Linked DNA regions of Rhinolophus ferrumequinum. The protein of the gene in region 1 purifies or fractionates together with the protein of each later gene. This does not show direct contact. Links are inferred from orthologs where the notes say so. Each region holds a gene or a part of one and is shown in the gene's direction. Other genes may lie near its edges.

Region 1 (8,137 bases):
AGCCGGGAGCCTGAGCAGCGACCGCCCTTTTCCCAGCTGCACCGGTTCTTGGCCGAGGATGCACTCAACACCGCGTGAATCATGACCCCCAGCCACCCCTCCCTCCTCAGGGAGGGTTTCGGGGAAGCCAGTGGCACAAAGAAGAGGAGCTAATGGCACCTCCACTCTCCCCCTAACTGCCCTTCACCTCTGAGAGAGGCGCAGTGTGACCGAAGGTGGGCTGGGCCTGCCAGGAAGCTGATGACCTCCCTTCCTCCTGCCCCCCCTTCCTGCTCCTCTTCTAGAAGCTTCTGCCACCCACCCAGCTGGCCCTGTGGATGGGACCGTCTCGGACCTCTTCTAGCCATCCCTTGGGGAGGGTGGGGGCAAATACAGGGCAGACACTGGACATGGCCCCCTGGAGCACCTGGGCCCCCTTGGACAACACTGGTTCCTGGAGGGAAGGCTGTGCCCCGCAGCCTCTCTCTTTCTGGCACACACTGGACCCCACTGGCTGAGATTTTGTGGAGTGAGGAGGACAAAAACGGGAGAAAGATGTTCCCTTGTGCCTACTCCTGGAATTGTCCTCAGCTTTGGCTTTTCCCCCTCCATCCTCTGAAACACTGGACCTGGGCTTGATTCCTGCCCCCAAACCCCACCTCCCATCTGCCATGTTGTAGCTAGAACTTCTCTAAGCCTGTATGTTTCTGTGGAATAAATACTGGGATTAGGGGGAAAGAGGGAGCAAAGGCCTAGGGCCCGGGGGTTGGATATCTCTATCATAGCTGCCACATTGGTTTTTCTATAATCACTTGGGTTTGTACATTTTTGGGGGGAGAGAGACAGATTTTTACACTAATATATGGATCTAGCTCAATGCAATTTTAATCCCCTGCACTAGGCAGGTAATAATAAAGGTTGAGTTTTCCACAGCTGTGAGTAGGTTTCTTGGGGTTTTGGTAAAATCTGCCTCCTGCCCCTCCCTTCCCCCATCCCATTTTCTTCTCTTTTTCCTCCTCCCCGTTCCATTTCCTACCACGTATTTTGCCCAACATAGTGTTCTGTGTCTCCATAAGCCAGGTCCTTGCTTGTGGGACCTGAGGTCCCACATGAATGTATGAACCTTGTCAACTCCAACACAAGCTCTGCAGGAGGCTGGGAGGGAGGTGGAGTAAGCCTCCAGTCTTAACCTCGTTTGACCCACTGACCCCTGTGGCAGCCTGGCGAGATCTGATTCCACCTCAGAATTATGTTTTAAAACCCATTAAAAGGAGGGTGTGTATGTATAGATACATGATTATAGAGGAAGTCAACTGAAAGAGTTTACAAAAATGTTAAAAAATTATATATTAACGTGGTTCTTTTAAATATATTTAATAACAAGATCTAGCAACAACTACTGACATTTCCAAATAGTATAACGATAAATGACATTCTGAGATTTCTACAACTACAGTGAGATATGAAAATAGCTGCGATGTCTATTAATGTAAGTCACACGCTAACACTACTGAGGGTTTTGCTCATATTCATACTTGGAGGGAATGCTAAATTTCAGTTAGAAATTTAGAGGTTCATAAAAATAGATGTGTCGTTTTTTTCCTAGCCCACATTCTAGGACACACGCCCCCCCCCCCCCCCACACACACACGAGTCTGGAAGTCCCCAGTGGAGAATCCCTGGATTACGCTGATCAAGTGTGTAAATCACCCAATGGGTGTGAGCTGTCTCGCTGGGAGCCAGAAGCAAGAGCCTAAATGATCTCAGGCTTGGAAGGATGAGCTACAACCACCAAAAAAACATTTAACAAAGTTAGAAAGAAAAAGAAAAATCAGTTGCAAATATTAGGAAAGACATGATGGTAGTCCATGTGAAACAAAGGTCATGGTTGATAGTCACAAAATGAGCCAACTGGATAATGAGGATAAAAATAAAGACAATTTAATCTTATGTTGAATTATAGGCCGTTGGGGTCCAGGACACAGATCTGAGTTCTGCTGAAACCTACGCTGGCCAGGTCACTGTGACCCATGATTTAAGACGGGCACTGACAGGTCAAGAGTTTCGAAGCCAGAATGCATAATGGTGAGCAATGGAAGCCGTGCAGTGAGCGGAGAACTCCCGAATCTCTAGCTCAGAACTCTCTATGAAGCTCTAAAGCTGTGCAACCACCTAGAGGTCCACCGAGAAGTGCAGATCTGTCAGTCTCAGCGTGTCCAAGCTGGCCCCTCCCATGTCATCTCCTGCCTCACTGAATGGCAGCACTATCCACTCAGTTGCACAAGCCAGAAACCTGGGGATCATCCTCGACACCCTTTTCCCTACTCTCCCCTCACAAATCCAGTCTATCACGTAGCTCTGTCGATTTCGCTTCCCCACTTTCCCTTCAATCCCTCATTTCTTCCCATCTCCATCTTGCCTGGTCTCTCCTAGCATCTGTTTCCGCTCCTCTCCAGTTTGCTCCAGTTTGGTCCTTGCAGCCAGTGACCTTGAAAACACAGAAATCCGACCTCATTCCGTTATTTCAAACCCTTGAATGGCTACCCATTGACATCAGAATAAGAACAAAATCTTCTTGGCCAACTTTAGCGCCCCCACCCCATCTTCAGGGTGGGTCCTTCCCACCCTCTCTTTGCACCACTGGCCTTTCAGTCCTGCCTGCCACAAGGACTTCATAGCATGCTGTCCCCATCTGGAACACAATTCCCTGCTGTCTTTGCTTTGATAACTCCTGCTTGTCCTTCAGCAGCCTTCCCTAACTTGCCAACCAGGTCAGATCTCCTCTTGAGGCTTTCAGAGAACGGGACTCGCTTCTTTATAGCACTTACTACGGGGGTGCCATTTTACATTTTTTTTTGTTAAGAAAATGTTTATTGAGCATCTACTATGTGCCAGGTGCCATGCTTATTACATATCATATCTTATTTAATATCACAACATAGGAAGTAGCTAAAACTATTGCCATTTCACAGAGAAGAAAACTGTTAGGTTAAGCCACTTGCCCAAGGCAGCACAATGGTAAAGGGTGAAGCTGGTGGGAAGCAGCCCACGACTCCTGGATCTCTGTTCTCTCTCCAGGATGCTGCCTGAGGGGAGGAGGTCATGAACTCTACATCACAGGAAGTTTTCTCAGCACAAGCTGGATAGCCTTATTATGTCAGGGGGCTCTTTCTGCATTTCAGCTCCCAGGAGACCACGCTGATTTTCTTCTTGAAGGCCAGTTCCAGGAACTCAGTCTGCTTGGTTCCTGCCATCAGACACCTGCCCTCATCCACTGCATCCCTCCAAGCAGGGGTCAGAGCTCCTTGATGAGGGAAAGGTCTATATCTGCACCATCCAATCAGTAGCGACTACTGAGTACTTGAAATGGGGCTAATGTTGACTGAGGAACTGAATTTAAATTTTGTTTGAGTTAATTTAAATGTAAATAGCTACAGGTGGCTAGGCTCCTATTCTGGACAGTGTAGCCCGAGTTTTCCCCACATTGTAGAGAACTGTGACCTGATCTACCCAGCTTCCTTTGCTTGCTCCCATCAAAATGACCTCTCTGAGTTTTACACACACATGAAAGCTTCTTACAAATATGGCATTGGATTGTGTACGCCATTTTGTAATCTGCGTTTCTTCCCCTCATGACAGGTCGTATGCAGTTGTCAGTATGCATAGTGACCTCCTCTCTAAGTGTTCTCCAGTATTCTACATGTAACGATCCACATTTCATCTAACCAACTCCTAATAATGGACACTTAGGCTGTTTCCATTGTTTTCATAATGCAACAACAGATACACTCCAATAAACATCTTTGCACCCAGGTGGGAGAATTTCAGTATGATGCATTCCTAAAAGTATAGCCACATTAAAATCCTTGGTATATACAGCCAAATTGCCCTTAAGAAAGCATGCTTCCATTAACCTTCAACAAAAGTATATGAGTATCCTCATAGTCTCATATACATCGAGGTAGTCAATCCTTAATCGTTTTTTAATTGGATATGTTATTGTTTCTTTAATTTGCTTTTCCTAAATTACTAGTGAAGTTGAGAGTTTTCATTTGAAGTCATTTGTATTTCTTCTGTTTATCGCCTATTTTCTATTTTGTCAATCTTTCCATTGTGATGTTACTTTTTCTTATTGCTTTGTAAGAGTTCTTTGTATTTTGTCCATTTTATCAAATACTTCTTTCCAGAATCTAATTTTAACTGTACTTAACACAAAGAAGCTTTCTCAGTTTTGTGGCATTCTTTGAGGATTTTAAACATTGATTGCTAAAGAAACGGAACAATGAAACAAACATGGGTGGGCTACAACGCACGGCAAAGTCTTACACAGACAGTCCTTATTACCATTTTAGTCCCTCGTCCCTGGCAAATGTACTTAATATTCCTGCCTCGGTACTTTCTAGTCCAATCGCGGGCAAATTTTCTCTCACTAGACTTTGGTCTTCCGGTCTGTAAAATGCGAATAATAAAACTTGCCTCATGAGAACTTAGGAAGCCTGTAGCTCCGGCCTTGGCTAAAGACGTTCCCTTCCCTTTCGCTGCAATAGGTTCATAAATCAAATCAAAGCGTACAATTTTTAAAATTGTATTTACTAGTATCTTTTAACTAAACGGGAGGCGGGAGCATGGTGGACGTGGCAACTAGATCCAGTTAACTCCTAACTCGCGAAAACGCTCTGTAGAGCGCTTTAAGCCAATTTCACCTGGATCAGCTGAGCTCAAGGAACCCAGTTTCGTGCGTGTCTAAAACTAAGCGCCTTACCATCCAGCCGTCTCCACACCTCCGCCAGTAGGTCCTCGGGGTACTTCTTCTCCCAGGGTCCCGCCTCCCGTACCGGTCGGTTAGACATGCCGTTGGAGGCGTGCGTGGAGAGAGACGCGGAACCAAGTGACCCGGCCTCCGGTGTCCTGAGCTCTCTCAATGAAAGGCCAGGCTCTTTCCTCGCTGTTTCCCCGCGGTGCCTTTCGGGAGCTGTAGTCAGACGCGCTTCAGCCGGCTCTGGGGTGAGGAAGGACAAAACTCCAATTCCCAGTGTGCTCCGCGCCGGGCGAGTGCAGCGCCCATTCTTATCCTACCCACTTTTTCTTTCCTCTTCTGAATCCCCTGCTCCGAACTCCTGTCTGTGAAATCCTTCGTCGCTCTCCCCATCTTTTTCTCTCATTTTCACCATACTTTTCCCTATTTCCCAGAGCCAGTGCAAGGCCCTGGTTCCGATTAAGCGACTGCTTGAGACTCGGGTGCACGAGGGGGAACTGACCCAGAGTGGTAAGGGGGCCGGGAGAGAGCGGGTGGCGGAGTGTACGAGTTGAGTAAGAGGCGAGGAATGGGAGGAAAGTAGCGAAGTTAGGAGGTCGAACGGTATGGATCAGGTTGAATGGGGTGAAGTGGTCTTTGGAGGGAGGAGGGAAAAGGAGAGGAAAGAGGTGGAATTAGATTCGGGAGACATGGAGGGGAAAGGTAGTTTATTGCCGTACCCAGCAGAAGTGGGATCAAGAAATAGATGGGAAGGTCTGACAGATGTAGAGCTTATAAGTAGATCCGACCAGGAGAGGTGGTAGGGAGAGAGGATTGGGCTCAAACAAGTCTCTTTGTCACTGCTTAGTAAAGATGAGCAATCACTGGCACACAAAATGATTTTGCAAATATGGGACAATGAAAAATTCTGTTACTTGGAAATCAAGTGAAGACTGGAGCTGAGGCCAGAAGTGGGGTGAGAAGGCAGGGAAAGAGGGGAAGTCAGTCAGGTTTGGGAGAAACTAGAGGAGATGAATGACATTCAAAAGGGAACCATAGAAAAGATGGGTTATTGTGGGGGCCAGTGGATCTGGGATCGGAATGAGAAAGGTGAGGGGTGACACTGGCATGGATTGAGGGATTGCGTTTCTAACGCTTGCATCTTTCAGGTGATGGAGAGCATCCCGTCAAGGGGTGGGCTGAACCGAGTACACCTACAATGCAGGAATCTGCAGGAATTTCTAGGGGGTCTGAGCCCTGGGGTATTGGACCGATTATATGGGCACCCTGCCACCTGTCTGGCTGTCTTCAGGTGAGGGTGCCCTTCACAGCAGGGACCATGGTGGGGAAATGTAATGGGGCCTGCAGACTGGGATAAGTTATCATGGATAGAAGCTTCGTTCTACAGGGCGTAAAGATTAAAGTGTGTCAGGCCAAAACAGATGGTGTTTGTTGGGGCAGCAAGACTGGTAAAGGGGTGGAGGGTGAGATGAGATGTTTGAGAGGCTAAGACACAGGTTGAGGGCAGAGATGCAGATCTAAGGCAGTTGCTGACAGTAACATTTTTCCTCTCCCCCTGCAGGGAGCTCCCACCTCTGGCTAAGAACTGGGTGATGCGCATGCTCTTTCTGGAGCAGCCTCTGCCACAAGCTGCTGTAGCCCTGTGGGTAAAGAAGGAATTCAGCAAGTGAGTGCTGTATTCCCAGCCAGATACCAATTTCTCAATGGCTAGATTTCCCCAACTGCTGTTCCTTGGAACATTTTTCAGGAAAGATTAATGGGTACACCATAAGACTTGTAATTAAATAAGTTTGGGAAACTGTATACTGTATTTTCCCTCTTGGAGAGTTGTGAGGTCTATAACAAGGCTCTGGCAGGCGTTACAGTAAAGAAATTTGCCTTAAGACATTGATTTCACTCTGTGAAACAGTAATCCAAGGACTACTAGTTCAAAAGCAGAAATGGAGGCCTTCATGGGCCTTCTTTTTGTTCTCCAGACACACCTGTCACCTCTCTGCTTCTGTTTCAGAGCTCAGGAGGAAAGTACAGGGCTGCTGAGTGGCCTCCGTATCTGGCACACCCAGCTGCTCCCTGGTGGTCTCCAGGGCCTCATCCTCAACCCCATCTTCCGCCAGAACCTGCGCATTGCCCTTCTGGGTGGGTATGTCACTCCATCTCCTCCTAAGCTAGGCCGGGGAACTCCTTAGGGGCCTCTCTGGAACCTTGTGGGCTCCACCTTTGGCAGCTCCTTAGCAATAAGTTGGACCAGATGCATGGTGTAGGGAATGCCTCCCACTCATGGCCCATGGGGACAAAGGTAGAAAGAGGGCAGAGGAGTGGGCAGGGGACACAGGCAGGGCTCCTTACTCTTGGCCCATCCTGGCATAGGGGCAAGGCCTGGTCTGATGACACGAGTCAGCTGGGACCAGACAAGCATGCCCGGGATGTCCCGTCACTTGACAAGTACGCCGAGGAGCGATGGGAGGTGAGAACTTGCGACTCTGTGTGTGTCTCTGCTTATGCTCCTGCTTCCCATGGACCCCAGAGGCATCTCTATTCTCCTCCATTCCTCAGGTGGTCCTGCACTTCATGGTGGGCTCCCCCAGTGCAGCTGTCAGCCAGGACTTGGCTCAGCTCCTCAGCCAGGCTGGGCTCATGAAGAGGTGAGGAAGCCCGAGGCACAACAGCTCCCGGCTTTGCCATCTCCTTGGGTCGCTGCCAAACTGAGTGTCCAGGCGGGTCAGGATTGGAGGGCGTTGAAGAAGGACAGCTGAGTGGAGTACAGCGAGAGATAAACCAAGAGCAGACGTGAGCGGTCGGTGGGGCTGGTGGCCATTCTGTGCACACCTGTCCCATTGTCCCTCTCCACGTGTCTAGTACCGAGCCCGGAGAGCCTCCCTGCATTACCTCTGCTGGCTTCCAGTTCCTGCTGCTGGACACCCCTGCCCAGCTCTGGTACTTTATGTTGCAGTATCTACAGACAGCCCAGGTGAGGAGTGCAGCGTCTGCTTGTGGGTGTGCTCTGCTCTTCTCAGGACACACCGAGAGATTACTGCCTACAGACTGCTCCCTGATTTTCTCCCTCCCATCCCGTCCCCTTGTCTGTGCCCATTCCTCCCTAGAGTCGGGGCATGGACCTAGTGGAGATCCTCTCCTTCCTCTTCCAGCTCAGCTTCTCTACTCTAGGCAAGGTAAGCAGGGGCTGGAGCTGGGGGGTCGGGTGGGTGGGCCGAAGGGGAGCGAGATGGGGAGGGCAATGGGGCTATGGGGCAATAGAGTGAAGTAAGAAGGAACAGCCAGAGGTGGGAAGACGGAACGAGCTTGTGGTTTGGGAGAGGGACATGGGATGTGTTTGGACCCCAGCTGCTACCTCTCTTCCCCAGGATTATTCTGTGGAAGGGATGAGTGATTCTTTGTTGAACT
Region 2 (7,736 bases), on another chromosome or scaffold:
AAAAAGTGGACAGGATTGTTGTGAAGATTAAATGAGATAAGATGTGCCAAAAAACACCTGGCGTATAATTAATCTTTGTTAAATGTTTATTATCTTCCTCCTGATAGTACAAAGTAGGAAACTTTTCAATTGTATATACCTAAGGAAAATTCATTTGGCTATATTATGGGGCTATCCAAGTTCAGGTCATAGAGGAGTCTTCTTCTGGTGTATCATCAATCAAATATAGTGCATTGACTTGGAAAACCATGTCTTGGGTTTCTGCATGTCTTCAATATAGTGCCTCCCAAGCACCAAGTTCAACAAATTATATAGAAGCAGCAGTGACCTTTTGTGATATCTGTAGCCTGAGCTACATTGGTATTCTATAGCTCCAGGAGGAGATTCCTGTAGGACCAGAAGTGAAATCCAACACCAGGCTCCGGATTCCTTTAGCAGGCTGAGCCTCAGAGCTCATTCTGGCAGCAATTCAAAGTGGACTGGACGCCCTTGACCCAAACATGGTCAACTACAATGGGACACCAGACTTGAGCATGTGTAGAGTTAATCTCATAACACTGGTTTTGCCAAACTATTTGTAAAATTAATGAATATTTGCTTCTACTTCCTATGTCTGCCATGTTGTGAACACTGAGTCTGCTGTGCTGATTTGCAGTCCAAAGCTGTGTTGTGATTTGGAAAAACAGAGTTGAGGCTGGGATTGTGTGAGAGTGAGAACCAAGCTGCTTGTTTCTGTATCTTTCCACCTTGCCTGAAGATAGTGATGACAGTATACGGAAATGTTTTGCCATTTTAGTGTATTGAAGAAAATTTGGTTCAGCACAAAATGTTATACTTTTCTTGAGTATATTTAATTGTGTTGCCACCATGAATAGAGATTTCCTTTTCCAAGGCTGACTTTGGCTGTCTGGAAGATAGAGGGAAGATCATATAACTATATCTTGGTGGGCTCTTTCTATTTCAGAAAGCTTATTTACTGGTACTGTTAAGAACGTTAGGTGCTACATTTATCTTTCAGGTAGAGGAGGTGTTCCATTGTTACTTAGTAACCAATGGTTGATGATATGTAACCAACATTTCTGAAGATCATTCATTTGCCAAACATTTATTGAGTCCTCAGTAAGTAAAAAGTATTGCATCAGGTACTGAGGGATGGAAAGATGAATAATAGATTGGGGTCTCTGACCCTCATGAGCTTAAAATCTGGTGGGGGAGATAAGACATATTTATAAGTAAATAGTTTACAGGGTATGGGAGTGATGGGGATAAAGAGACTGATTTTGAGAGGAGGAGGGCAACGGGAAGTGGATTTTTCGTTGGGCCTTTAAGGACAAGAATTTTGAGAGGACAGGATAAAGTTCATTAGAGGCAGAGGGAACAAAATGAGTAAACATGGAGCCATGAAAGTATGTGGTATATAGTATTTGAAATATTGAGGTAATTCAGTGTGTCTGAAGTGTTGTGTTTTATGTAAATGTGAGGTGGGAGATTAGCTTAAAAGGCATGTTGGGGACAAACTATGAAGGACTTTGAGTAAAACGCTCAGTTTGCTGTGGTATAGTGGACAGAGCGGTGCATTTACAGTGGCTATGTCTGCATAATATGATGGCCACAGTTGATTTGTCCAGGGATGGGCACTTGCCTCAAGCCAAAACAGTCAGAATCCTTTTCTGGGGTTTTTCAAACTTGCATGAGGAAAAGAGTTAAGACTGGTAGAGGGAAGCTTCGATGTAATGCTTGGAAGTTCTCAGTGACTAAGCCATCTACCTGTGGGATGCTGATGAGCACGAGGTGAGAGAGAGGGTGACTTAGTGAGTTGCATGGGTGATAGTGTAGGGAAAAATCCTGGCAGAGATGGAATGAGTGTCAGGTCCTATCATCATTTCTGAGATACAGCAGCATTCTTGCCTTTTTGTGGTAATACGTATGAATTTCTCTAGGAGCAAGAAACCCCATTTGAATTTTCCTAGGAAAAAAAGATTAATTTATTGGATCATGATACCAAACAATGTGAAGAGCAGAAATACAGCTGGTTGGACTTGAAGATTTATTGTCCCATGTCACTTGTCTCTGCCTTTCTCACCAAGTTAGTTTTAGTCTTTCAAAGAGGCTGTCCCCAGAAGGTTTGGAACCATGGCTCTCAGTAATTCCCAGCTCACATTTTCCAACTTCATTAAAGAGGCTCTGCTGCTTTCCCCTTACTGTTAATTTGAAAAATTCTAGGGAAGATTTCTGATTGGTCCTGGAAGGGTTGTATGTCAACCCCTAGGCCAGAGAGCCAGCATTGTGTTGGTAGGCCCATTAGAACACCAGAAGCCTGTGGGAGAGGATCGATTTTCTGTAAGATGGGCGAGGGATAATATACAAATGTGCCCTTCAGATGAGGAAAGCCCAACGTAGATCCATAGCCTTGGGACTGGGAAGGAGGGTCTGCATTTGAGATACACTGCCCCAAGAAGTAGAATTTACTCTTAACCGAGATAGGAATGTTAGATCATGAGCAGATTTGGGAAGAGAAATAACGGGTTCAATTGGTTCATTGTTGGGATACGTCTGTCTTCAGAAATATAGAAAGCTTGATAGTTTGGTGGTTTTAACATAGGCTGAGGTTCTTTTTGAATCAGAAGTCTGATGCTGTCAGTGCTTTCCTTTTCAAAGCTTTCTGACCATTCTATGTTAGTGAACCCCACCTGTAATAATGGTGTACATTTCAGAGTTTCTATTATGTATGAAGCATTATAGTAGGGCCTTTGTATGTGTACACGTCATGTAATTTAGTCATTACAGCAACCCTGCAGTGTATTATATGGACAAAGGAAGCAGGTAAGGGCGAGTAAGAAATTTGGGGCAAAATCAGTCTGTCTGATTTAAAAGGATAGGCTCTTCCCATTACATTACCCTGCTTTTTAAGGCTACTACTGCTAATAATACTCATACCACTAAGAATAATGGCTAACAGTTATTGAACTCTTACTCTCTGCTAAGTACTGTGTTAAGCACTTTAAATGAAATATCTTATTTATCCTCAAATTATAGTTGGGAAAACTGAGGCCTGAGGTCACGTGGCTAGTAAGTGATGAAGCCTATACTTTAATCCAGCCAAATCCACATACACTACTTTCTACTGTCTCTAGCTCCATGATTATTGTAGTAATGTAGTATTGGCTAAAAATTGTATTTGCTCAGTGACCATATTCACTCTTCCACCAGAAGTTTCCTATTCTGTTAAAATATAAAGATCCTAAAAGTTGCCTTTATTCTTAGAGAGCTTCACTCTGAGTCATATAACTGGTTTGGATGTGGTCTCTTTCAATAAGACAACAGCAGCATAGAAAGCTTCCAGGTCAGTACAGCAGTTGGCATTACCCATTTTAGTAAACTTCAATTTGGTTCACTCCTATTAATGAACAATATTATGATGCAGATGACATGATTTATTTATTAGGGGAATCCCTGTTGTCTATATAAAGTACTGTGCTACCATGGCCTGTTGTCTATATAAAGCTCTGTGCTACCATGGCCTGTTTGGTCTGCTGATTTCCAAATGTGGTATCTAGAGCTGTTTGTCAGGTTCTGCCTTCATAACCCATGGAAACCCCAACTGTATTTCCACACTGTGAGTTGCTTACTAGGTTCACTGTTTAAAAAAGGTGGGAGTTGGAATGTTCCTTTTTATTGAAAAGAGCAAAAATGCTATGGAAAGTTTGTTACTATGAGTATATACAGCATGTATTCATTGTGTGGGTTAATGTGAAAAGCTTTTTCTGCATGCCCACTTCTGATGGAATTTGGGCCAAATTACAAGATAATGGTTGGCATAATTTTTTTCACATTACACTACAATTTGATGGTCATTCATTCATTTTTCATTTACTCATTCAGTAAGTATCAACAAATCCTTGTTATGAAGTGAATAAGATGTGCCCTTACAGGAGTTTATTATCTAATAGAGCTGTTTACAGACGTCACTTTGCAGTCTTGATAAATGCAGTGAATGTGGCTTACCATTTCCAAAGAGATGCAGGCTCTCAAATCTTAGAATTAATGAAATTAATAGTGTATATTCTTGTGTGGTTTCCACCCCAGTATTTGGGGAAATAAATATTGTTTTTGATGGGGGGGAGGGTCAGAGATATTAGAGCCAGGTGACGCCGGTAGGCCAGGTGACACTGTTAATCTCTGCAGAGCAGATGTCAGATATTATTTATAGACTATTCTGACATTTAGTGAGAATCTAACATTTGGGGTCCGTGTAGAGACTTTCATTCTATATAACTTTTCCAAACTTTCTATCTGCGAATGCATAGTATTTCTGTGCTTGCATGACTGTGCAAGTATAAAGGAGAAGAATAAAGTATAGACTAACCAAATTGTTCAAAAGAAAATACAAATTTGAATTATTGAATCTACTATGTACACCGGGCATAAATCTTTGAAGCCAGGGGAATGTTTTCAGACATAACAAGATGGAATCTATGTTCCTAATTGTGACACAGTTCCTTGAAAAAAATTCAGCTGGGTGCACTGAGATGAGGCTTTGTGTACAATTTGCCATTTTAAAAGCCCTTCCCCGAAATCCAAGGTATTGCGCTAGCTCTCGGAAGCGAAGACGGAACCCCAGCGACAGGACCGGAAAACTCGCTGCCGGAACGTTTGTGCTGCAGGGCCTTGCCCCCGGCCGGTGCTCATTTGCTAAGGGACCGTCTCAGCAAAGTGCCCGTTGGTAGGAACCTGGTTAGCGTCGGGTCTGAGGGGGGATTGGAGGTGACTGGAGCTGTGGCTGAAGCCGGCGTTGGGGAGAGTCCCTACGAAAGAAGGTGCCATGGACGATCAGGGCTGCCCCCGGTGTAAGACCACCAAATACCGGAACCCCTCCTTGAAGCTGATGGTGAATGTGTGCGGACACACTCTGTGAGTTGGGAGACAGTGGATATCATGGGAATGAGAAGAACAGGGTTGGATGAGAGAGCTGAAAGATGCTTGGCCTCGGTTCACGGGGAAAACAGGGCGTCATTAGTTTCGGTACTGGGGAGGAAAATAGGAAAAAGGAACCTTATTTCTGTAAACTGACTGTAGCCGCTAGCCCTAAGCCGCTTTGGCCTGCTTTGCACTGCCGGTTCCCAGATGTACTTAGCAGCTGGTCAGGTTGCCCCGTCCATAGCTGATGAAAATCTTGACGATATTTCCAGGCTGTATTGTCCACTGGGGGCCAGACATATCGCTGGTTAAAAGCGTGGGGGATCGGAGTGTTTAATTGCACGCGAATTTTTTTTTTTAAATGAAAAAAGCGAAAGTTATGAAAACAAAATTACTGTGAGTATAAACTGCTGCTTTTGTGTGAGTTAATTTGAAAATCCCGTCTGTATGCCCACTTGTCCTGATGGAGTTTGGTTAGACTTTCATCACTGAAAGGGAGAAAATATAGACTCTAGACAGTAAATTTTATTACAGTGGCTGGCATTTATTGAGTGCACATTATGTGCCAGGCACTGTTCTAACAGCTTTACCGTGAATCATGTCACTTCATTCTCTCAACAGCCCCATGAAGTAGGTGTTAATATCACTACCATTTCTTAGGGAAAGAAACCGAGACTGCTCAAGGTCCCTTATTAAGTGACGCTGCTAGAATTGGAACACAGGATGTCTGACTCTAGAACGCCCATTTTTGGAGGAGCGTGGGAGCCGGAGGGGGCAGGTTGAGTTTGGGTATTTTGAAGAATAAGTGCAGGAATTGGTTCAAGTGTTTCTTGCCATGTTTTTGTGGTCAGTAAAGGTAGTTCTGTAAAGCATGGATGTAAATTGCTATATTCCTAAAGTTTCTCGGAGGTTTCTTAAGAGATGAAAAAATGATGGATGTGCCTTTAGAGCAGCTCTTCTGCTCGACCCTTTCCAAACTCTTTGGAGTGTACTTTTTCTCCTAATAATGCCACCTTGAGCCATTGAGCTCTTGAGCCCTTTGAGCCTCTTGAGCCTTGCTTTTGCCCCCGGGTGGCTCCAAACACTTTGGAGTGTGCTTTTTCTTCTAGTAATGAACCTTGAGCCGCTTTTCTTTGTGCTTGGCCCGCTCCTAGTAATTCTTAGAGTGTACTATCTTTTCTAATAAGCAACTCTCTTTCCACTTTAAAAAAAAATGATGGATGATCTACAGTGTAGTAGACAAGGTCTTTGGGTAAGCATAAATTGCATGATTAATGGTAGTTATAATGATTTAATGGGATTTATTAACTCAATTGGTCTCTTTTTCTAATTAATCTTTATTTTTATCCTTTATCCATGATCAAATGATTTAAGATTAGAAATAAGGTAAAAGTAATCAAGTAGAATGCATGGAAAAGGAAAGTGAAGCAAACACTGTATGTAGACAATTAGTTTTTTAGAGAGATTCAGTTTCTCTTCATTTTCCTGTATCAGGTTTATTACATTCGGTGCTCAAGGAAAGGGAATTTACTTTTTTGGAAGGATACTAAATGTAATTAACTGGAAGAAATTTCTGCCCAGTAGATATGAGCCAATCAGGGAAGATTATGTGATTTCAGTAAAATAAATGGCACTAAAATTATTTTTTTAATTTTCAATTACAGATGACATGCAATATTATATTCGTTTCAGGTGCACAGCGTAGTGATTAGACATTTATATAACTTAATGTGATCACCCCGATAAGTCTGGTACCTATCTGACACCATACATAGTTGTTACAATATTAATTGACTATATTCTCTATGCTGTACTTTACATCACTGTGACTGTTTTTGTAACTGGCAATTGGCACTTTTTTTTTTTTTTTTTAAACCCTCTGGTCTCACTGTTCCTTTATTCCTCCTTTTCCTGTCTTGGTTGTTAAAGACATTTAAACAAATTTCCTGGCCTTCTCTAGGATCTGAGCCTCTTCATCAGGGATGTAAGTAACAGTGGGCCAGAACCATTAGAATTCCTGCCAGTTAGGGGAAACATTAGGCTAATCTTCCTTACATTGGCCTATAGCTGATACCGAGGAAGGCACATGAGCTCTAGCAGTTCTAAAATACAGAAGTTTACATAACTATAAGCAAAGCTTAATTTTTAGATTTAATTTTCTATTTTACTTTATGGTTAGTTTCAGGTGTACAAAACAATGTAATACTTAGACATTTATACCCCTCACAAAGTGATAACCCCCCTCCCCCAGTCTGCTAGCCCTCTGACATCGTATATAGCTGTTACAGTTCCCCTGACTCTGTTCCTTATGCTGTACTCCACATCCTGTGACTATATATATATATATATAAGTGAAATCATATGATAAATATGTCTTTATATAAATATATAATTATAGTTGACATTCATTATTATTCAGCTTCAGCTTCAGCTTCAGGTGTACACTGCAGTGGTCAGGTACCTACACCGTCCATGAAGTGATCTCCCTAATAAGACAAGTGTCCATCAAATACCCTACAAAATCTTTACAACATTATTGATTATATTCCCCGAACTTCTTGTATCCCCGTGGCCATTTTGTGGTTACTGATTGTGCTTTCTAATCCCCTCACCTTCTCCCTCATCCTCACCCCCTTCCCATCTAGCAGCCCTCAGTTTTTTCTCTACGTCTCTGAGACTCTTTCTGATTAGTTTGTTAATTTATTTTGTTCTTTAGATTCCACGTAAATGTGAGATCATATGGTATTTGTCTTTCTCCGTCTGACTTACTTCACTTAGTGTAATGTTCTTTAGGTCCATCCATATCATTGCGAATGCTA

Evidence for each region.
Region 2: the proteins of GTF2H4 (region 1) and MNAT1 purify together in Homo sapiens (co-immunoprecipitation; 3 studies listed by BioGRID and IntAct, with this or other methods). This does not show direct contact. The link is inferred for Rhinolophus ferrumequinum from reciprocal best matches to the Homo sapiens genes GTF2H4 and MNAT1.

Annotation. Positions count from the first base shown.
Region 1 is NC_046286.1:1,466,682-1,474,818, forward strand, and holds the start of GTF2H4 (general transcription factor IIH subunit 4), read left to right. Parts: upstream 1-5,039; 5' UTR 5,040-5,245; intron 5,246-5,883; 5' UTR 5,884-5,886; coding exon 5,887-6,026; intron 6,027-6,296; coding exon 6,297-6,401; intron 6,402-6,743; coding exon 6,744-6,875; intron 6,876-7,102; coding exon 7,103-7,199; intron 7,200-7,288; coding exon 7,289-7,377; intron 7,378-7,591; coding exon 7,592-7,703; intron 7,704-7,836; coding exon 7,837-7,905; intron 7,906-8,097; coding exon 8,098-8,137. Other genes in the region: DDR1 (epithelial discoidin domain-containing receptor 1), read left to right, coding at 1-78. UniProt on the Homo sapiens protein: Component of the general transcription and DNA repair factor IIH (TFIIH) core complex, which is involved in general and transcription-coupled nucleotide excision repair (NER) of damaged DNA and, when complexed to CAK, in RNA transcription by RNA polymerase II.
Region 2 is NC_046289.1:34,221,889-34,229,624, reverse strand, and holds the start of MNAT1 (CDK-activating kinase assembly factor MAT1), read left to right. Parts: upstream 1-4,704; 5' UTR 4,705-4,822; coding exon 4,823-4,911; intron 4,912-7,736.